Arabidopsis thaliana: one gene and its partners. The protein of the gene in region 1 interacts with the protein of each later gene in a pairwise test. Each region holds a gene or a part of one and is shown in the gene's direction. Other genes may lie near its edges.

The links. Proteins that work in one complex are often made in the same cells at the same time.
Region 2: the proteins of AT5G60142 (region 1) and IAA31 interact in binary tests that used the Arabidopsis thaliana proteins (3 or more experiments, as listed by UniProt).
Region 3: the proteins of AT5G60142 (region 1) and IAA10 interact in binary tests that used the Arabidopsis thaliana proteins (3 or more experiments, as listed by UniProt).

Annotation. Positions count from the first base shown.
Region 1 is NC_003076.8:24,213,275-24,222,026, reverse strand, and holds AT5G60142 (AP2/B3-like transcriptional factor family protein), read left to right. Parts: upstream 1-4,277; 5' UTR 4,278-4,435; coding exon 4,436-4,448; intron 4,449-4,562; coding exon 4,563-4,633; intron 4,634-4,674; exon of another isoform or gene 4,675-4,713; coding exon 4,714-5,332; coding exon of another isoform or gene 5,333-5,358; exon of another isoform or gene 5,359-5,418; coding exon 5,419-5,510; intron 5,511-5,601; coding exon 5,602-5,847; 3' UTR 5,848-6,080; downstream 6,081-8,752. Other genes in the region: AT5G60150 (uncharacterized protein), read right to left, coding at 1-1,723, 1,809-2,072, 2,200-2,333, 2,446-2,609, 2,713-2,795, 2,916-3,169, 3,267-3,464, 3,642-3,816; AT5G60140 (AP2/B3-like transcriptional factor family protein), read left to right, coding at 6,676-6,688, 6,771-6,841, 6,913-7,569, 7,705-7,950.
Region 2 is NC_003074.8:6,018,839-6,025,368, reverse strand, and holds IAA31 (indole-3-acetic acid inducible 31), read left to right. Parts: upstream 1-4,221; 5' UTR 4,222-4,328; coding exon 4,329-4,453; intron 4,454-4,550; coding exon 4,551-4,762; intron 4,763-4,860; coding exon 4,861-4,945; intron 4,946-5,033; coding exon 5,034-5,088; 3' UTR 5,089-5,396; downstream 5,397-6,530. Other genes in the region: RBL14 (RHOMBOID-like protein 14), read right to left, coding at 208-423; HYH (HY5-homolog), read right to left, coding at 784-982, 1,075-1,261, 1,335-1,398; BSH (transcription regulatory protein SNF5, putative (BSH)), read left to right, coding at 5,778-5,827, 5,923-6,017, 6,127-6,221. UniProt on the Arabidopsis thaliana protein: Aux/IAA proteins are short-lived transcriptional factors that function as repressors of early auxin response genes at low auxin concentrations.
Region 3 is NC_003070.9:1,055,061-1,062,343, forward strand, and holds IAA10 (indoleacetic acid-induced protein 10), read left to right. Parts: upstream 1-4,409; 5' UTR 4,410-4,669; coding exon of another isoform or gene 4,670-4,748; coding exon 4,749-5,020; intron 5,021-5,222; coding exon of another isoform or gene 5,223-5,263; coding exon 5,264-5,574; intron 5,575-5,671; coding exon 5,672-5,804; intron 5,805-5,896; coding exon 5,897-5,966; 3' UTR 5,967-6,149; downstream 6,150-7,283. Other genes in the region: PRP39 (Tetratricopeptide repeat (TPR)-like superfamily protein), read left to right, coding at 1-28, 114-230, 418-648, 738-1,043, 1,127-1,228, 1,374-1,490; AT1G04090 (vacuolar sorting-associated protein (DUF946)), read left to right, coding at 2,165-2,270, 2,575-4,187; SDD1 (Subtilase family protein), read right to left, coding at 6,397-7,283. UniProt on the Arabidopsis thaliana protein: Aux/IAA proteins are short-lived transcriptional factors that function as repressors of early auxin response genes at low auxin concentrations.

The DNA of each region.
Region 1 (8,752 bases):
GGACGCCCTTGACAGAAAACTCATCAAGGCCACTAATGAGCTCTGGATCAGTAACCACATCCACCTCTGTCCGCTCCAATTTATCCTCAGGCTCCTCATCTGAACAATCTGAGTCTGTAACCAAATCCATGTCTTCCAGCTCAGAGTTATCTCCAAGCTCCTCATTTGAATAAGAGAAAACCGCAACAGATGCATCTTTTTCTGGAGAACAACCAACTAATGTTCCAAGTTGATCAGCCTGTTTCATTACACAACCATCATTTACATCAGATGTATTTTCACTGCTGGAACAATTGTATTGCTTCTGTTTTTCAGAAGTTGATTTCTCAGAGAAGGGTTCATGAGATGATTCCAGAGGTTTAATCTCCATCGTAACTTCAACGGAGGAAGGCCTTAGTAATTTCACTTGTTCCATGTTGTCAGCATCAGACGAACCAGTAAAGCATTCTATCTGCATATCAGGCCCATCAGCTTCTTCGTTTCTGATCAAGACATCTATCTCATGACCACCCTCTTTCACCTCAAGGACTAATTGGTTCGACAAATGTTGCTCTTCAGATTCTCTAAACCAGTATTTGCATTCGGAAAATGGACCAATGAAATCAGTCTCATAGTTTTTCTCTGTGCTTTCGCTTATTTCAATTCTCTTCTCCGTTTCTAATACAGATTGACCATCACACACCATGTTATGATCACACAAAACAGAGTTCGCTACCGCATTTACCTCAAGATGATTGCATAGTGATTGAACACAATCTAGTGCTTCAGAAGGCTCCAAAGGTACAGAAACAAATTCAGTATTACCTAACTGATTTTCTGAAGAAGATGGATTGTCTGCATCACCCTTTATTGAAGCCAAATCCCCAAAGAAAGATGATTTTGCAGTGAAGGAATCCAAAACCTCAGGCTGCTTTGCTACATATTCAGTAGAATGATAAACAACTAACGCATCTTTTTCTTCAGAAAGGCAAGGACTAATCTCGTCTTCGTTTCCAGGGTGCAGGCATTCATTTAGAGGTTGTCCAGGTACATCCAATGTATCAGAATCTCCACTAAAATCATTGGTAGTACACATATCTTCTTCCCCCGGATTGCTGACTTTCAACTGTGAGTAGTTGTCAAACAGTGTCAACTCATCGCAAGGAGGACCCTGCATCGTAGAATCCATAGAATCTTTCATTGGTAAAGCACAGTATTCTTCTACTGAGAGGCAAGACTTCCTTTTCTCATCTCTATTATCGTCAGACATATTACTACCATCTTGTACATTATTTTTGCAGCCTGAGGGCGGCAGCGCACTGTTACCCTGGAATTCTTGACATTGTTCAGTAGAAATCTTCTCAGATGTGCAATAAGTTACATCATCCAGAACTAAATTTCCAGTATCACCTTGAATGACACATTGGTGCTGCGGATTTTCATTTATCTGAAAACTCAATGGACAACGCAACACTTTGGATTCTACTTCCTGTGTGCTATTCAAGTCCACTTTCAACTTTTCCTGTGAAGGTTTGAGACATATAGATTGAGCAGAGAATCTTGCAGCTGAATCTGAACTGCCAAAAATTCCAGTTGCTGCCTTGCAGTTGACACCGGGAAACTTTTCAGCAACTTGGGGTTTCTTGAAGGTAGGGATCAAAGAAAAATGAGCGGCTGAACAAACATCAGATCTGGGAAGCTGACTGTGTTTGTCTCCCGCACTCTGCGACGGTTGAGAGTCAGACTGCAAAAATATGAAGTATGTTAGAGTTACAAGAACAAAACCATAGTTATCTCACGATAGAATTCAGTATATTTCAATAATATACCTGACTGAAATAGCCAATTGAAGGTTTTGGCGCTCTTAAGCCTGATGGCTTTCCCAGTCGTGAAACTGCGGACTGCGTGCTTCCAGCTTTATTGCAAGAACTTTGAGCTAACGAGGTGCCCAGAGTAATTACATTAGAGTCTGGAATAACTGATGCATGACCAAGCATAGCCACATCTGATGCAGTCATAGGGCCAACGTTGGATTTTGCAACAACAGAATGCTGTGAGTATGATACTGTCGGAATTTCTGAAGATTTGCTGATCTAGAGTTCAAGAAAATGCAATAGGTTACTCTTAATAGGAAGAATATTGGAAACAAAGCATTTGCTGCAAATTTTTAGTGCATAAACTATTTGCTATATTGGTTTGCAGAGGGCAGCATAGCTTTACCACATTTCTTCTAGCTTGCTTAAGAGAGGGCTTAGGAATTGAAGATTTACTCGCCAGACTGGATTTTGTTTTACTCTTGGTGCTTGAAGTGTTTTTAGAGAAGCTTTCAGATCCTAAGCTCCTCTGAGAATTCTCTGTCATATCAGACAAAAAACCATGTAGCAATATATAAACAGGATGAAAAGTAACAGAACTAAAAAGGATATGAGATGAATAGTTTTTATTTGCTAACTGAAGTGAACATACTTAATTGAGTAGGTTGACTGTTTTTCGCTTTGATTGGACTTTGAGTAGTCCTTTTCATGTTGTTTCCAACTGTAACTGGGTCAGATTTGGTAGTAGGAACTTTAGATATGCTCAGCTCCCTGCAACGTGATGTTGTTGTATGCACATTTGCAGGTCTTTTCAGGGTGCAAGATGGTTAAGGTAAACAAGCAAAAAGAACACAAACAAGACCTGCAAAGGATATCAAGATTGCCTATACACTCAGTACTCAAAGTAAGAAAAGGATATGAAGATGAAGGAGGAGGCCGGGGACAGCCACTGCGCTTGGAACCACTCCTTAAATCCTGAGCTGAGATAACTTTTTTCTGGGCCTATAATGCAGATATTCGACATTTAGATAGACTGCGCCTCAAAATATATATATTTACGCAAGGAAAGAAACGACTTATGACCCTCATTAGCTCCACAATATTTAGGTCCAGTAAACTCACCGAGGAAGATTGGGATTTAGATGGTGATCCGTACTTGGGCATTATGCCACTGACAAGCTTCTTCTCTCTGTTTTTACTATTCACAGGCAAGTCGTTAAATAAGTTTTCTTCAAGTGCTTGTAGTCCTGGTGAAACATTACATTTGGAAGCTGACATTGACTCTCTGTACTCTTCCTGAATGGCAGCTAACCGATCTCCACCAAGATGGCAAGCAGTTCCAGTTATTTTAGATAACTCAGATGAATCCAAAACACCTGGTTCATGACCATATCACACATCTTAAGATTCTTAGTAACATAGACCAAATCTTTGACCTTTACTACTAACAGGAAATTGGTAAAAAAAAGTCACCTTCTTCCGTTGAAAAAGCTCTATCCCATGCTAAACTCTTGCGCAAATTAAACCCTGCATTCTTTTTCTTCTTCTTCATCTGTTGTCGCTCCACACTCAATTTGGGCAATTCAACTTTAGCATTCTCCTTTCCTACACTATCTGTATCAACTGAAGCGCATGGCTGCTCCCTGTTGTTGCTGGTGCCTGTTACTCTTCCTGCAAAAAGTATTAACCTTCATATATCCGCAGAATACACAACATTTATACTAATTTGCTATTTTATCAAATTAAGATTTAAACAATGCTAATTCAGATGCTTAAACACTCTAACAAAGGGAGAGAGAAATTATCAGAACGAAGCTCGGATCGAGAACGAGAAATTGAAGCGCTTACCAATTGGGGAAAAAGGAGGCCGAGTAGGAACGATACGACTAGATCTAGGGATTTGGAGAGGTGAGCATTTCAAATAACTCTTTCCTCGGCTCGAATTAGTTTTCTTCGGCGTATTCTTCAGAAGCCAATTATCTTCGTCGTCTTCTCCAGAGATATCTAAGAGATCCTTATCCATTTCTAGCTTCTCTTTCGAGCCCAAGATCTGACGATTAGGAAATCCGGAATCCTATAGCTAGGTTTTTTCAAACTTACACTGAGAAAATCTCTTCGGAAGTTGTAGGCGAAAATCCTAGTCGGTAAATCGGAAATTGTTCGGCCGATGGAAGAGACGACTGTTGATAGAATATCCCGGCCTCGTAAGCGGGAAGAGGTTGAAAAACTTGAAATTGAAAGAAGATCGGACCAACGTTCTCTATAATCTCAGGTTATTATTGTCATTTAAAGCAAATCGATTGGGCCGGACTTTAAAGCCCATTTATTTGAATTTTAAATTCTCGTTCACCCTTTATTGGTTTGGTTTGGTTAGGATAATATTTTTTCGGTTTGATTAAAATCATATCGGTTCGGTTCATGGAGCATTGAAGTAAAAGTAGTTAGCACATGTTTTATTTTTCCATTTGTAGCAATAAGCCTAGAAGACAATACAGTCTCTGTGTTATGCTACAAAAGGCAAAATCTCTAAAGCAAACCAAAAGATCGGAGATCTATTAACAAAGCTCTTTTACTTTTCTATTTTCAAGAACCATTTTCACCTTCACTTTCACTAAAAGAGTTAGGGTTTCAAAGAGGTGAAGATGATGAACAGAGGTTTCTTCTTTAGACTCTTGTTTTTATGTTAAGATCTTTATGCTATTGTTTGTTCTTGATTCTCCAATCACATAACCTATCCTATGTTCTGATTTTTTTCTTGCTTTGGAACAGGAATTTCTGTGGATGATTGTCTTCCAAAGTTCTTCAAAGTGTACTTACCTGATGATTCCGGAGATGATTTGGTAAAAATACACTTCTCTCTCTGTTTTTGGTTATATGTAGATTTTTAGTTTATTGAAACTTTTAGATCCTTCCTCTTCAGGAATTACCCATCTCTTTCAACAGCTTTTTACCAAAGTCGTTGCCTAAAAATGTAATTGTTAGAAGCATTTATGGAAACATCTGGAAAGTGGCGTTTAGGAAGTTTTGTGGTGATAGTGAGAGATTTGTTATGGTTAATGGGTGGAAGAAGATAGTCAAGGACGAAGATTTGAAAGGTGGAGAGTTCTTAGAATTTGAGTTTGATGGCTCTTGGTGTTTCAATTTCTGTATCTATGGTCGTGCAACGTGTAAAAGGCTTAGAAGTTCAGTGCAAATCACGGTTCTTGATGACAATGATGATGGTTTTAATGATGATCAAGATTATGGGGAAGAAGTTAAATCTAGTGAAAATTTCATAGTTCTTGATGATGATGATATTAGTGATGTTCAAGATTATAATGAGGAAGATACATCTAGTGAAGATATTACAGCTCTTGATGATGCTGATAATGATGATATTAATGATGTTCAAGATTATGTTGAGGAAGATACATCTAGTGAAGATATCATAGTTATTGATGATGATGATGATGATGATGATCAAGATTATGGTGACGATGATCATGCTGATGTTGAGAAAGAAAGATGGAGAGGAGTCAAAACAGAGAAAAAAAAGAAAGGTATAATAGAAACTTTTGTCTTGTGAAGTTAACTGAGACTGAGAGCATCACTGTCTTTTTATTTTCTTGCGTATAAATTTTGATAGGTTCTTCTGGAGAGCATGACAGACAATATCTGGATAATCACATGAACCCTTTCTTTACAGTGAACCAGCATCGGCAAATAAAATATAATATGGTAAGAAATGTGAAGAAAGTCTCATGTCTTTTTGCATTTTCATTAAAATAATGTACCACTTCTGTTTTATGATGTTATCTTTGTAATGCAGCTGCGCATACCAACTAAGGTCATAACGAAGTATGGCTTACACTTCCCTGAGTTCATCAATTTGATTGATCCACTCGAGAAAAACTTTGGTAAATTGAAGAGGAAAGTTAAGGGTCAAACAATCAAGGGATTCCGTAGTATAATCAGAAGGAATAATGTGAAGTTGAATGACAAGGTGATTTGTGAGTTAGAAAAGGAGATGGATGGTCTTGTTCGAGAAATCAAGGTCCATGTTATAAGAGGATGATCTCTTGATAAGGCTTTATGCGTTAACTCCAAGACATTATCTATTTTTACTTGAGAGTTTTTATATGAGTAGAGTACTTGGTTTTATGAATCTTATTGGTTTTCTCGGAACATAATCGATGTTGATGCTTTCTATACACTTCTTGATTTTGTTTGTTTGTCTGAAACATGAAGTGCAAAAGACGATCAACACAGTCTTACAATAATAATGTATACTAGAGCTATAGATTTTGGGAGAAATCATTATGAATGGTTCACACATCAGGGCTGTTTAAAACCTGCGAGTTCATGTAAAAAGAATGTTATTACTCTCTATGTGATCATAAGAAAAGCATTGGCATAGGAGGAGAATAATACTAAGATACTTGGAACTCTGCCACTTAACACTATCTCATTCTTCTTTCAAGTTTCAAGTTTCTTGTTCAAGAATTGAGATGTCACAAGTCCTTCTTTCTCTAATATACCCTTCTCGACTCTTTACTGTGGTTCTTTTGTTTAAGGACGATAATGTCATTTACACGATATAGATTGAACCAAACTTAAGGCCCATTTCTTGTTTTTTGTTTGGGCCTTAGCGATACCTTGGTCCGCTTAACGAATTATTTTTGAATAAGAAGAGTACTATTAATGGTTTGTTTTCCATTTGAAGGAAAAAGCATCGAAACAGAGAGAACCCTCTGTTTTTGCAAGTTTTTGCTACAAAAGGCCAACACCTTTAGATCAAATCACATCTGGAAAAACTTGGATCTGGAGAAACTTTGTTCACCTTTTTATTTCCGATCAAAATTAGGGTTCAGAGTATTTCCAAGAGCACAAGAAGTTGACGACAATGAACACAAGAGGTTTTTCACTTCTCTGTTCCTGATTCTTCCCTTGTAATGTGCTCTGTACATTGATGTTCTTCCTTTTCTTATTTTGGAACAGGAAATTACTCTAATGGTTTTACTTCAAAGTTCTTTAAACCGTACCTTCCTAGTGAATCCGGTGATGATCTGGTAATAAAACACACTTCTCTTCACTCTGTTTTTTGTTTTCTGGTTGCTTGAAATTTGTAGAAACTTTTCAGGTACTACCCATTTCTTTCAACAGCTGTTTACCAAAGTCTTTGCCTAAAACTGTAACTGTTAGAAGCATTTCTGGAAACATTTGGAAATTAGGGTTTAAGAAATGTGGTGGTGAGGTTGAGAGATTTGTTATGGTTAGTGGTTGGAAGAAGATTGTAAGGGACGAAAACCTGAACGGTGGAGATCTCTTGTCATTTGAGTTTGATGGCTCTCATTTTTTTAATTTCTCTATCTTTGACCATGAGACTACGTGTAAGAGGCTTAAGAGAAGTTCAGAGCAAAGCAAGGACATCATCAAAGTGGGATCTGATTGTGAAGAAGAATCTCAGGCTAGTGATGATGTTATCGTTCTTAATAGTGATGATTCTGACGATTCTGATAATGATTATTCTGTTGAGGATGATAATGTTGCTGAGGATGATGATGGTCTTGAGGATGAAGTAGATGTTGAGGCTGAGGATGGTTATGATGCTAAGGATAGTGATGGTCTTGAGGATGAAGATGATGATGAGGCTGAGGATGGTTATGATGCTAAGGATGATGATGGTCTTGAGGATGAAGATGATCTTGAGGATGAGGATGACGAAAGGCGGTATCTGGATGATCACGAGAACCCGTACTTTACTATGACACTCAATCCGAAGAAGAAGAGCCAATTGGTAAGAGAAAAAAAAACCTGAATATTTAAGATCTTTACACACTCTCCATTTAACATCTTTGGTTATGGATTCTTATGTGAATAAATTAATAAGGAATATCTCAATCTGTTTTATGATGTTTGTTTCTTGATGCAGCACATACCGGCTCATGTCATAAGGGACTATGACTTAACCTTCCCGGAGCGTATAACAGTCGTGGACGAAATGGGAGCATTGGAGAAAGCAATCAAGATTCAAAAGAATGGTTGCATCTTTGTCAAGGGATTTGGTAGTTTCATCAGAAGGAACAAAATGAAGATGACTGACAAAATGATATGCGAGCTTAAGAGGACTGGAGGTAATCTGGTTCACACCATCAAGGTCAAGATTATCAGCGGATGATCTCTTCACTAAGCTTTTGTGAGTCTTATGTGTCTTAGCTGTGAGTGGTTTTTATTATGTTACTAATGGTAAAATGTCTATCTTAGGATTTGGTTTATAACTAAGGATTTGGGCGTGAGAGATGTTTTCATGTTGAATTAAGACTTTCTATATAGAGTTCATGTCTCATTAAATCTCTCTGTTTTCTCTTGCAACAAACTCTTGAGTTATGCCGTCTAGACAAATCTTGTTGCTTTGTTGCCTGCAGTAAGTAGGGCAACGTCCTCCAACGGATTCATACAAATAGTACTTACATTGTTCGGACAAAGGTCGTCCTTTGTGTTGGAGTAATCTCAAAAGACATTATAGTAAAATGACAAATGGGTTTGGGTTTGTGTTTTGTTGTTGGCACCACTTTTGTATACAAACTTACAAATCAAAATAAGAAAGAGAACCAAACAATATGTTGCAAATAGATTTGGAGGAAATCACTAGGCCTTCCACTGACTACTATAAAACCCCATCTCGAATGGGACCAAAATAATTTAGGTCCATTGGTTTTCGCGGGCCTTGGTTCTTTCACGAATCTTCTTTTAAAACGAAGTCGTTCTAAGTAGTCTTTTACGGTTTTACCATTTGAAGCAACAAGTATAGAAACAGAGAGAAACCTCTGTTTTCAAGTTTTTGCTACAAAAGTCGAAAGCCACTCAACGGAAACCGTACTATCTGAGAAATCTGGGGTTTGAAGAACTGTACTCATCTTAAAATTAGGGTTCCAAATCTCAGCTCTACATTGAAGTAAATGTAGTTAGTAAAGTTTTTT
Region 2 (6,530 bases), on another chromosome or scaffold:
CATCAAGATTAAAAAAAAAAACTTTAACAGAGAATAGAATTAATCAATCAAGAATGATCTAATTAGATATCGAAGAACAAAATCCCTAATTCTCCAGATATTGGTACAAATTTCCCAGGAAACTCAAATTCGAATTTCAGATCGAAATCGGTCAAATTGCAATCAATTTCTCTTGGCGAATGAAGGAATTTATTAAGATTGGTTTACCTTGAAGATGAGGTGAGGATTGAACCAGACCTCACTGATGTGAGGAATAACGGGATCGATAAACGCCGGCCTGAGATAAACGAGAGTGTTCGCGGCCAGGAGACTCGCCGTCACCGGTGGTTTCCACGGTAGTCTATAGTACTCCGCGACGGCGCTTAGAGCCAGCAACGGCAACATTCCGCCTCCACTTCTTCTCCCTTCACCAAAATTCTCCATTTCTTCGTAATTATTCTTTTCTTCTGATCTCTCTGAATCACTTACAAGTAATTAAAATCTCATCTCTTTCACAATATTTATATAGCAGCAGCTTGGTCTCTACGAAAACAAATTCTCCAGAGACTTCTTCGTTTCACTCGCATAAGAACATGTGGGACCCACCACGGCATTTTAGAACTCTAGTTTTTATACCTAATCTCTTCTTGCCTTTTTTCGTTTTTTTTTACTTTATTTTGCAAATCTGAATGACAATGATGCTCAAAGTGAATGTTATTCGAACAAAAAGTGTATACAAACCAAAACCAAAAAAGAAAGAAAGATAATCATACAACACTGAACAATGGATTAAAGGGTAAATATTTAGTGATTGTCATCAGTTTTAGGCCTTGTGTTAATAAGCATTTTACGAAGCATTGTGTTCTCGTTCGTCAAAGTAGAAATCTTCTCTTCGAGCTGGTCATTGTTGTTCTGTAACTCATTAGCTCTTGATTCCAAATCACTCACATACACTTTCTTCCTCTCTCTTGCTTGTTGCGCTGATACTCTGTTCCTCAATAATCTGTAATTTTTCACCACAGTTTCTTTTTTACCATTTCAATTCCACAAATCGAATGCTAAGAAAAAAAAGTTTTTTTACTCATCATTGATTACCTCTTGAGGCTTCTATATTCTTTATCAACAGGGTTTCTTCCACGGCGGCGTTTAGCTGTAGAGACTCCATTTTGAGTCTGGTCAAGCTCCGGATTGTTGACTCCATCGTCGGCGCTGCTGCTTAGAACACATGTTGATCCAGCTGCTTCCATGTCAGGAACCATCAACAACTCCTCATCACTTTCCTCTGAGAATTATACAAACCAATTTCTCTAAACCAAATTAAGTTAAATATTAGATAAGTTTCTTTCAACACCTACCAGTTTTGTGCTTCTTGTGGGAAGAAGACGAACTCGAGTTCCCATTGGGTCGTTGGAGAGACATCAATATCTTTTTGTCTTTTGAGATTTTGCTAAAGACGAGAATAGAGAGGTAAGAGGTTGAAGAGAATATCAAACCAAAGGAAATTGCATCTTTTCTTTCTTCTTTGGGGCCACTCAAAGTCTGCAACTCGTTTCAAACAAAAAAAAAGAGAAAAGTATTGGTTGGCTTATAAAAGAACACGTAGGTTTATGTAAGACCACAAATGCAACTGTTTCAATCCAATGGTGTGTATCTGTGTTTTCTTTTCCACTATATCCCGTTGAACTTATTAATTGATTTATTGTTCTGTTTTGCTTTTAAAGTCTTTGTTCATGATTTCTACGGAAAACAACCTTTAGTGAGTATTCACAGAGCGTGTGGGTTTAGGACAATAATTACTGTCTAGAACCATACAAACGTACTTGCAGACAAAGTCAGAGGCACAACTATGTGTGTGTGTATCTATTTGCATGGCGTAATAGGCATGCATAAACTCATCATGTGGTCATATATCTCGTTTTCTATTTTTTGGTACACAAATAACTCTTTTGTATAAAGACAGCTAACTAATGTTTTGAATTTTTAAATGTTATCTCTTAAAATTAAATTCTACCAATTGTAAATTCAGTCAATCATTCCGAAGCATTTTTTCATGCTTTGTGATTCCGCCATATATTTTCCCATGTTCTTTTTTACGTTTTTCATCATAATTTTAAAGTTTTACGATTTTTTGTTGTTATCAATGAAAATGGACCAAGTAAACTTCTACCGTAATGGTTGCATATTAGATAGTGGACTTATGCGCGCGCGCGGAAACAAAACTTGGCCGGTTGAATCGTCGTCTGCCTGGCATCTAACAGTTTTTTCGAACATTGTCATAATCAATATATTGAGGGATGTTAATCATGAAGTCGTATGGAATGGACGCGGGAAATCACTCATAAACAATGTGAACATTTTATAAGGTTATAAAGAAGAACAAGTTTCATCCTTCTTTTGTATATTTCGACTCATACATATCTTTCTATTCAGGAATAAGTATAAAACATAATATAACATGTGGCATATCGACCGACCAATACATCTTTCCCAACCCATGATCAACCTTCTGATTGTGTTTTAATTTATTCGTCATGAAATGGATCAGAATACTCATGATGAGTTTGTGTATCACTCAAGGGACCCCTTGTCTTAAAATCAACTAAAATCATTTGATGTAACTTTTATACGAAGTACTATCCAAATAATTAATTTTCATAAGCAGCGGACATTCATTTTGTTTGTATGACTATATGATTTTATTATTTGAAGCTGTATGCAAACGTGGAGATATGATTGCATCTTTGTCTATGCATGAACATGCCACGTTAATTTAGGAGTACATATCATGATATTGATCTCTCTTGCTATAACTTTTTGGCACAATACTATTGCATGCCTCTCTATATTACTTCAACAAAACGTTTAAATTTACCATGGTTAGAACTTAGAAGTAATCGAGCTGCAAACCATGGTGATCATATTTTTTCTCGTTCGCATGCTCGGTCTTAATATATTGAGAGTTATGGCCAAAATTTGAATACCATTTTAAGAAACTTCAGAAAATCAGGAGTTTGATTATTATCTTTGGTTCTTACTTACTTCAACGAAAACTAATGACAAAACTCTTTTAAGTCGAGGTATGCGAGTAATAACTCCTTGGACATATTTTTTTGATAAAAGTTTAATTGATTATAGACTTATAGTAGTCTTAATTATTATTATAAGTATAAAGAGGAGTAAACATTCATCATTAGACTACTAGACATTATAAAGTTATATATATCGAAATTCTAACAAGAAGGATCCCTAGAGACCAGACATGCATGTCCAAAGACAGATCGTATAATAGCTAATAGGAGTCTTATCGATCCAACATCCAAGGTAGGCTTTATTACAAAGTAACTATTAGAGTGCACTTCCCATGATGATTCTAGAATCTAATATTATTATCAATACAGCCAATGAGCATTATGTGATGTAACAATTTATGTCTACTTTATATTTTGAAGTTATCATAAATCAACGAATTCTATTTTGATTTTCAAAAAAGAGTAAAAGATTTGGGCTTCTAAGAGAGACAATCCACAAAGCTAAAGAGACATTAACAGGAAACGTATAGTTAAAGAAAAGAACACTGTCTGCTCCACAAAAACAATATACACAAAACTCTTCAAGTCTACCTTATTTTTATTGGTTCTGCAATTTTCAATGGTCTGTTACATTAATGTGTCATAAGAGACAATTGAGTTTTCTTATCAACAGAAGGGTCTAAAAAATTGATCCCCCAAGTTCATAGTCTATAGACTCAGTTTTTTTCTTTCAAATATTGATGTGTAAGAAAGTGAAAGTGATGTGATGCTCTGTTTCTGTTTACGGCTAGACAATAAAGCCTTTTTTGGCCCTTATCTCTCCTAATTAAAGAATCTGAGCAGTTGAGAAATTAAAATCAAAGCCTTAACAGATTAACTCCAACATCATTTAGACACACTTTCCTTGGATACCACCTTTTTACGGAAACTTCGAATCTTACATGTAAACAAATCTCAAAACCATAATTTCACATTTTTACTACTAACTAACTCCAAAGATCTAAACCCATGAATTAAGTATCTAATCGGGTAATTATTACAGTGGTTTTCAGAAATCAATGTGTGTTCATATTTAGAAGGTTGAAAGTTCATAGTTAAATGTGGGGAACCTTATGTTCCTATTATTTATTTATATTAAATTTCAAAGTCGATTAAATCAATTTTTAAATTCAAAATCTATGCAATAGAATCACCTACTAGTCCTTTTTTGTTTAACTAGACAGAGAGAAATAGAAATAGAGAGAGAGAGACATGAAGAGCACTCTCAATAGAGAAGAGAAGGAAGCATGAAGCTAGCTCTGCAGCTTCAAGGTCTCATTAATGGAGGTCTCTAACTCTTGTTCTTCATTTTCTTCATCCTCTGTCGACAGTACTAAACCTTCTCCTTCTGAATCTTCTGTTAATCTCTCCCTTAGTCTCACATTTCCTTCTACTTCTCCACAAAGGTCTTATTCACATCACTTCTCTGTTTTTTCCTATGTTCTGTTTTTGCTCTGTTTTCTTTTGTTCACATTTGTGTTTTAAATCTTTATTTTTTTGTAGAGAAGCAAGACAAGATTGGCCACCGATAAAGTCTAGATTAAGAGATACACTAAAGGGTCGTCGTCTTCTTCGTCGTGGTGATGACACTTCTCTCTTTGTTAAGGTTTATATGGAAGGTGTTCCCATTGGAAGAAAACTCGACCTTTGCGTATTCTCAGGCTACGAGAGTCTATTAGAAAATCTCTCTCACATGTTCGATACTTCAATCATCTGTAAGTAATTAATGAACAACACATAATTCCGTAAAAACAACATTCAACTAAATTCAAACAGTTTGAAGTATATCCATGCATTGTCTTGGCTATAACAGGCGGTAATCGAGATCGAAAACATCATGTTTTGACATATGAAGACAAGGATGGAGATTGGATGATGGTCGGAGATATTCCATGGGAGTATGAATCTTATATCTTGATCTTACATTGGTATAATTTCCTCGGTTATAGCTATTCTCTAATTTTTGAAATCGATGTTTTTGTTTAGTATGTTTCTTGAAACCGTGAGAAGACTAAAGATCACGAGACCGGAGAGGTATTAAAACTTGGATCGGTCAAGGCTGTGATTGCGCAGTTACGAGACGTGTAAGATTTAGGCATTGATGAAGAGACTTGAGGCGGGACGGAGCTATTGCTGCATATTGCAACAAAGGCCTTGAAGAAGTTGGAGAATTGATTGATGCATATATTTATTTATATGACACCTTTGAGTGTGTTTTTTCTTATAAATAAATCACAATATCCAAGACTTCTCTTTTTTGTTCTGAATAATAATAATGCAAAGATTTTTTATATGTTTGTAATCGTGTGTTTCTTCGAATGTGTTACATGACTAGGAAAAAAGTACACGAACGTTGTTATGGGGAGCACGAACATGGAATAGAGGAACGTTGTCAGGAAGAGAATGATTCTCTTTGATCTGCCGGCAGCCGTCTCGTTGGTTGTCACCAATGTACAATTTTAATGTTGAGCCCATTTAAAGCCCACTAAATGACTAACAAGCTCGTTTAAAGCCCAAATGCTGCAATTGATCGTAGGATCGGATCCAGATAATTCGTCCCAAAATGGGAAAATTCCAAATTAGAGGTGAAATGTGTAAAGACATTAGAATATAAGGGTGATTCTGAAATAAATTAAGCTAGCGCCGGAAAAAGATCGAGAAATTGAAATTTCCCACACTCTCTCGCTGACTCTCTTCGAAACTCAATTTGTGAAATTTGGGGGTTTAAGGATGAAGGGTTTAGTGTCTACTGGTTGGAAAGGTCCCGTCAAGTTCAGGATGTAAGTTTCGTCGCTTCCTCTACTTTGTTTGTTTTGAAATCGAAATCGAGTTCATGTGTTTTTGTTTTTTCTGATGAATCGATTTGTAATCGGAGCTATAGGCCCACTGCTGAAAACTTGGTACCTATTCGATTGGACATTCAATTCGAAGGTCAGCGTTACAAAGATGCTTTCACTTGGAACCCTTCAGGTTTCTCTCTTAAAAACCCTACCTTTTTTTTTGTTTTCCATCTTCTCGCATCTTATTACAGTAGCAGTGTATGTGATTCACTGATTCTTGTTTTTGGTTTTGGATACAGACCCGGATAATGAAGTCGTTATCTTTGCCAAAAGAACTGTTAAAGACTTGAAACTTCCCTATGCATTTGTCACTCAGATTGCCCAATCTATTCAGGTTGTTTCTAAACTAGTTCACACTGACCTATCTTTAGTTTTTCTTCTGCTCTGATTTTGTTGTTAGTTCTTTTGCTTGTCATAGAGATGAGCTTAAATTTAAGGTCACCTATTAGTCTTAAACCAATCACACTTTCGACTTATTGTTTTTAACTCTTTAGGTTTTTTTACTCGAGAAGAGGCCTGTTTATAGCATTGTACTTTGGGATGTATATCTGTAAGACTGTGCTTTTGTGATGAATGTACTCTTGCTTCAGTTATGTTCTGTTCTGTTTTTGTAAGTATTGGAATAATTTCTTCAGAAATCTCT
Region 3 (7,283 bases), on another chromosome or scaffold:
CAAGCATGCAAATATGGAATACCGACTAGTAAGCTTCAATGGTGATTAAAGAACTAGTATAAGATTATTATCACTGGTTGTTTCCCTTACATGTCTCCTAATCTTATCTGTAGGGTAATCTGGATGATGCTTTCTCTTTGTATGAGCAAGTGATTGCTGTTGAAAAGGGGAAAGAACATTCCACAATACTGCCACTGCTGTATGCGCAGTATTCAAGGTTTTCATACTTGGTACGTCACATGGTCTCTACACTACTAAGACTTTATAGTACTGATTTTTGAACTCGTTTTGTTTTGTTTTCGTGATGGAGTATGTAGTGATACTTTATAGTACTGATTTTTGAACTCATTTTGTTTTTGTTTTCGTGATGGAGTATGTAGTGATTTGGCTTCTTACTTTTCTTAATATTACTTTCAGGTCTCCAGGGATGCTGAGAAAGCTAGGAGGATTATTGTCGAAGCACTTGACCATGTACAACCGTCAAAACCTCTCATGGAAGCACTGATTCATTTTGAGGCGATTCAGCCACCACCAAGAGAGATTGATTACCTTGAGCCACTTGTAGAGAAAGTTATAAAGCCAGATGCAGATGCCCAAAACATTGCAAGTTCCACTGAGAGGGAAGAGCTATCCTTAATATATATAGAGGTAATGGAAAAGAAAGAAGACAATTCTTGTTTGAACATGATGTATCTATATTATTGGTTTTAACACCCAAATGTGCATGGCCTTTGCAGTTCCTGGGTATTTTTGGAGATGTGAAGTCCATTAAAAAAGCGGAAGATCAACATGTTAAACTGTTTTATCCTCATCGGAGCACGTCGGAGCTGAAAAAGCGTAGCGCAGATGATTTTCTCGCATCAGATAGGACGAAAATGGCAAAAACTTACAACGGCACTCCACCTGCTCAGCCAGTATCCAATGCATATCCAAATGCTCAGGCTCAATGGTCTGGTGGTTATGCTGCGCAGCCTCAGACTTGGCCACCAGCACAAGCTGCTCCTGCTCAACCACAGCAATGGAACCCTGCCTACGGTCAACAGGTAAGATACCAAAGATAGAACCATATCCATTTCCTTCCTTCTATACTTTTACTCTTATAATAGTATCGAATATACCTTTGTAGGCTGCTTATGGTGCATATGGGGGATATCCTGCTGGCTATACCGCTCCACAAGCACCAACACCTGTGCCACAGGCCGCAGCTTATGGAGCGTATCCTGCTCAGGTAACCAAAATTCTTAATTAGTGTTAAACTCAGGAGTATTTAGGAGGATTACAGGGATTAGCCACCAGTTTGAATTGGGAATCACTCTTGGAGATAAGTCTTTGATCATCTAACTTGGATCTTATCTTTGTGAAATTTTTTGCAGACATACCCAACGCAGAGTTATGCACCTCCAGTTGCAGCAGCAGCACCAGCGGCTGCACCGGTGCAGCAACCGGCTGCTGCTGTTGCTCCTCAAGCGTACTACAACACGTACTACTGAGCCTATTACTGCTGCTGGTCGTTTTTGTAGTGTAATTGATAACCATTTGCTTCTATCTACTCAAATTTAGTGTCTGGATGTTTACATGTCTCTCTTTTCTCGATCAGTGACAATAGATATTTACTTTTCTTCAGTTTGTTTGATTCGTAAAAGTTCTTGGATTTACGCCGGTTATGATACAGATTGTAACCAGAGAAGTTGAATTGATGGAGCCGGGTAGTACTGTTTCAATGATCTAACTCAGTTAAACTCCTCAGAAGAAAAAAAGGAAAAGTAACGACGCTTAGAGAACTTAATTTTCCAAAAAGAAAAGAATAGACCTCGAATTCTTACTTAATGGGAAAAATATACAATTTTAAAACTTATGGGGTAAATATGCGAGGATTTTTAGATATATTTTGAAACAAAACATATTTTGTGCGACTGTCCAAGTTTTTCGTGTTCATCATCATTTTCTTGTGGCGTTTCTTCAAAAACCAAAGTTACTTTTTCCCCAAGGTATTCGCTGATGTGTGGAATTGGATAAAACAGTTTCATGACTTTTTGGTTTTCTCAATAAGAGGAAAATCTTTAATTTATTGCCCGAAGGAAATGGTAAACAAGTGATGAGATGCTACAAAGCTGACATATTTCCACCTTCCTGATTAATTAGGGTTTCGCGCGATCAGATAAGAATGTTGGGTTACAAATGTCTCCACTGGAACAATCTTATAGATTTACCGCCATTAAAGGACCCTGAAACCTTCTCTCTTCCTTCTTCCATTCCCCATTGGCCTCCAGGTAACTCCAATTCCATTCAATTCCCGACTTCTCTTGTCAACGATTTCGAATTCAAAAATTCTATTTCAATTTTAGGTTTCTTAAGCCTTGACAAAAGAGAGATTTTTATTTCTCGATTTTCCTCAATTTCGTGAAATTCAATTGGGTTTTTCAATCAGATCTCTATATCCACTAATCTAATTCGAACAATGGTCAATCAAATCTTTTGCGTTTTCAAAGAGGATTCTTTAAAGATTGCGTTTTGAAGAAATTTTTCAGCTGGGTCTCTTAGATTTTGTCTCTCCATCCTTTGAAAACTGATCAGGTCAAGGCTTTGGCTCTGGAACAATCAATCTCGGCAAATTACAAGTCATCAAAATCACGGATTTTGAATTTATATGGAGATACAGATCCACAGAGAAGAAGAAGAACATTTCATTTTACAAACCAAAGGGATTGTTACCTAAAGACTTCCATTGCTTAGGTCACTACTGTCAGTCTGATTCTCATCCTTTGAGAGGTTATGTACTTGCGGCAAGAGATTTAGTGGATTCATTAGAACAGGTAGAGAAACCTGCATTAGTGGAACCTGTTGATTTTACTCTTGTCTGGAGCTCAAATGATTCAGCAGAAAATGAATGTAGTAGTAAGAGCGAATGCGGTTACTTCTGGTTACCGCAGCCTCCTGAAGGGTATAGATCGATCGGTTTTGTGGTTACAAAGACTTCCGTGAAACCTGAGTTGAATGAAGTTAGATGTGTTAGAGCTGATCTTACTGATATATGTGAACCCCACAATGTCATTGTCACTGCTGTTTCAGAATCTTTAGGTGTTCCTTTGTTTATATGGAGAACTCGGCCTTCAGACCGAGGAATGTGGGGCAAAGGTGTCTCTGCAGGTACTTTCTTCTGCAGAACTCGGCTTGTTGCTGCTAGAGAAGATCTTGGTATCGGTATTGCTTGTCTAAAGAATCTAGATTTGAGTTTACATGCGATGCCAAATGTTGATCAGATTCAAGCTTTGATTCAACACTATGGTCCTACACTAGTCTTCCATCCTGGTGAAACTTACTTACCTTCTTCTGTTTCGTGGTTCTTCAAAAATGGTGCAGTTCTCTGCGAAAAGGGAAATCCAATCGAGGAACCTATCGATGAAAATGGTTCGAATTTGCCTCAAGGAGGAAGCAATGACAAGCAGTTTTGGATTGATTTGCCGTGTGATGATCAACAAAGAGATTTCGTCAAGCGAGGAAACCTTGAAAGCTCGAAACTTTACATTCATATTAAGCCTGCTCTTGGAGGAACGTTCACGGATCTTGTCTTCTGGATCTTCTGTCCATTTAACGGACCAGCAACCTTAAAACTAGGACTCGTCGATATCTCATTGATCAGTATTGGCCAACACGTCTGCGATTGGGAACATTTCACTCTCCGAATCAGCAATTTCTCTGGTGAGCTTTACTCAATCTACTTGTCTCAACACAGTGGCGGCGAGTGGATCGAAGCATACGACCTTGAAATCATTCCCGGAAGCAACAAAGCCGTTGTTTACTCTTCAAAACATGGTCACGCAAGCTTTCCTAGGGCTGGGACTTACTTACAGGGATCGACAATGCTTGGGATTGGGATAAGAAATGACACTGCGCGTAGTGAACTCTTGGTAGATTCGAGCTCACGGTACGAGATCATTGCAGCGGAGTATCTCAGCGGAAACAGTGTGTTGGCAGAACCGCCGTGGTTGCAGTACATGAGAGAATGGGGACCAAAGGTTGTGTACGATTCAAGAGAGGAGATAGAGAGATTGGTGAATCGATTTCCGAGGACGGTTAGGGTTTCGCTTGCCACAGTGCTTAGAAAACTTCCGGTGGAATTATCCGGCGAGGAAGGTCCTACAGGACCAAAGGAGAAGAACAATTGGTATGGCGATGAAAGATGTTGAAATTCTCACTGTTGGGAAACAGATGTGGTGAGATTACCATCGGAGCCCTAACTGTGTAACTTGTAAAGGAAGATGAAGCTTTGATTGCGCAAGAGATTAATTACACAATTAGCGTAGGATTAACGTAAAACTTGTCGTTAGAAGTGTATACAAGTGGGTCCCATCATGTATTTAATTAAAATAATAAAGTTATATAGACGAACAAACCTCCACCAAACGCAACGCACACATTCGTGTACCGTTTCCGATTTTTCGTTCCTCCAATTTCATTCTCTCTCTCTTTAAGAAAAATTCCTTGTTTTTGATCCGAGAATCGAAGTCGCCCTCGAATCAAGATTAAAACCTCGTTTAGTTCTCAATTTCAGTTCTGTGGATCCGTGCGTGACCTCAAGTTTTTTTTTTTTTTCTGTCTCGAAATTCAGAATCGTAGAGGTGTTGAAAGTTGAAACCTTTTTTTTGGTTTGCTTGGTTAATGGGTTTCTTCAAACTTGATCGATAATTGGATTTGAATCAAGGGTTTTAGTGTTCTTGCTTTGTGTATTCGTTTGGCAATTTGGGATAATGAATGGTTTGCAAGAAGTTTGTTCGTCAAGTGGGTCGGTGATGATCGGACTACCAGCTGAAGAAGACGAAAACGCCGCACATTCGTCGGAGGATTCATCTTGCCCCGACGAGTCAGTGTCAGAGACAGAGCTCGACCTAGCTTTGGGTCTTAGCATTGGTCGTCGGAAGGTTCGATCGTCTTTGTCTTCCTCGTCTTCTTCTCTGACCAGGGAAAGTGGGACCAAACGCTCTGCTGATTCTTCTCCGGCTGCCGCCTCAAACGCAACCAGGTAAAAAATTCATCTTCGAGACTTTATATTATAACCTATATGAATGATTGGTCTCAGATTGCTTATTGTTACAGAATCAAAGCAACTTAGAGGATAGAGCTTTTAGACCTTAAACTTTGAGAATGAATGAATCACAGGATTGAATCAAATAGAGTGTTCCCTGAAATGTTTAGTTAAACTTTTGAATCATATTGGTTTATACTTGTTCGTCTTTTGATTTAATATCTTTTGGTAATGGAGCAGACAAGTTGCTGTAGGTTGGCCGCCTCTACGGACTTACAGAATCAACAGTTTGGTCAATCAAGCAAAGTCTTTAGCTACGGAAGGCGGCTTGAGTTCTGGCATTCAAAAGGAGACTACAAAAAGTGTAGTGGTTGCTGCTAAGAACGATGATGCTTGCTTTATCAAATCGTCCAGGACTTCTATGCTTGTGAAGGTGACAATGGACGGAGTTATAATTGGAAGGAAGGTTGATCTCAATGCTCTGGATTCTTATGCAGCCTTAGAGAAAACTTTGGATCTAATGTTTTTCCAGATTCCTTCTCCTGTAACAAGTCAGTTACTAATTCTGTTTCATGAGATTCCATGTGATTCTGTTTTTCAAATTCTGTGTCTCTTGAAATTGACTGGTTTTGATTGATCGATTTGTAGGATCCAACACACAAGGATACAAGACAATTAAGGAAACATGTACTTCGAAATTACTGGATGGCTCATCGGAATATATCATAACATATCAAGATAAAGACGGAGATTGGATGCTTGTAGGAGATGTTCCTTGGCAGTAAGTGACTACCCTTATAACTTCCCATTCATCATCTGTATTTGTAATGTGGCACATCCATTTCAATGAAAACGATCTTTTCATCTTCTCAGGATGTTCCTCGGGTCTGTGACAAGACTGAGAATCATGAAGACATCAATTGGAGCTGGAGTAGGTAAGTAGAGAGTCCTATATAGCAAAAACAGTTTACATCTCTTTGGTCTGTAACTCATATATCACATTCACATATATACATGTGCATATGTTTATACATGAGTGTACATATGTCTTGTGGTCGTTTGTGAATATCAAACAACAGCTTAACCTTGTCTTTAAAGATCTTTGTATATTTAGGGTTTTTCACTCTATTGGTGCCTGATCCAATATACCACTATAACAACAAAGGCATGCATCTGGATTAGGGTTTAGTGATGAAATCAAGCTACAGTAATATGATAGAATCACCAGTAGTTTCATTCCCTGGAAAATGAAATACAGCTCTTGTGCGTACAATAACAACAATCAATCAGCTTCACGAGGTTTTCTTAGCATAAAAACCTAATAAACCTAACACAGTCTTGAAACAGAATGAAAAACGTTTTCCTTCATTGGCTCAGTTAGTCTTCAAGGTTACAGAGATTGGACTTCTAACTCGCTGCATCAGATTATGAGAGTTGACCCAAGTCAACTGCCCTTGTGCAAAGCTAGCCACCTTCCCTCCTCTGTTTTTCTTCTTCAATACAAACCATACTCTATAGCTCAGCGTCTGATCCACGTGTTTGAACACAAGTCTCTTAGGATTGACAATAACTTTGATCCCCTCTGGAGCCTTGACATTCACTGAGTATATCGAGTTAGGACTCCCAACGTTAGTGACACGCCTTGTGATCATCTCCGTAGTCTTGCCACGTTTGAAAATCACGGCTATCGACGGGTAATTGAGACTAAAACCCGGGTTTTTCCGCAATATTCCATTGCAGCTCACGTTCTTATGAGTGATTGCTAAAATATCTGATCTTGTGAATCCAAGAGTGCAGAGGTAAGTTATGTAATCCACTGGTTGAATGTTGTAAACCAATCCCGGGTTTATCGCCTTTTGCGGATTCACATGCCCTGCTCCAATCGCAAACACACCGGCTGGTTTGTTACCATCCTTTATCGCTTTCCCTTGACGATCGTACAAATCCGCTGTTGTCATCAATGCGGATTTGATTGCAGCTGGAGACCAGTTCGGGTATGCAGACCGGATAAGAGCAGTGATTCCGCTAACATGTGGACAAGACATTGAAGTTCCTGACATTACAGTGAAGTTAACTCTTCTTGAATCATAAGGAAGTCCGGTTGGTCCTAGATTTTGAGGCCAAGCCGCAATGATATTGACTCCCGGAGCAATCATATCCGGTTTTAGTATCGAAGGATTGGCTAAACTCGGTCCTCGAGCTGAAAACTGAGCCACCTCCGGTGCTCGTGACCTCCCAATCACCGTACCACCAAAAATTA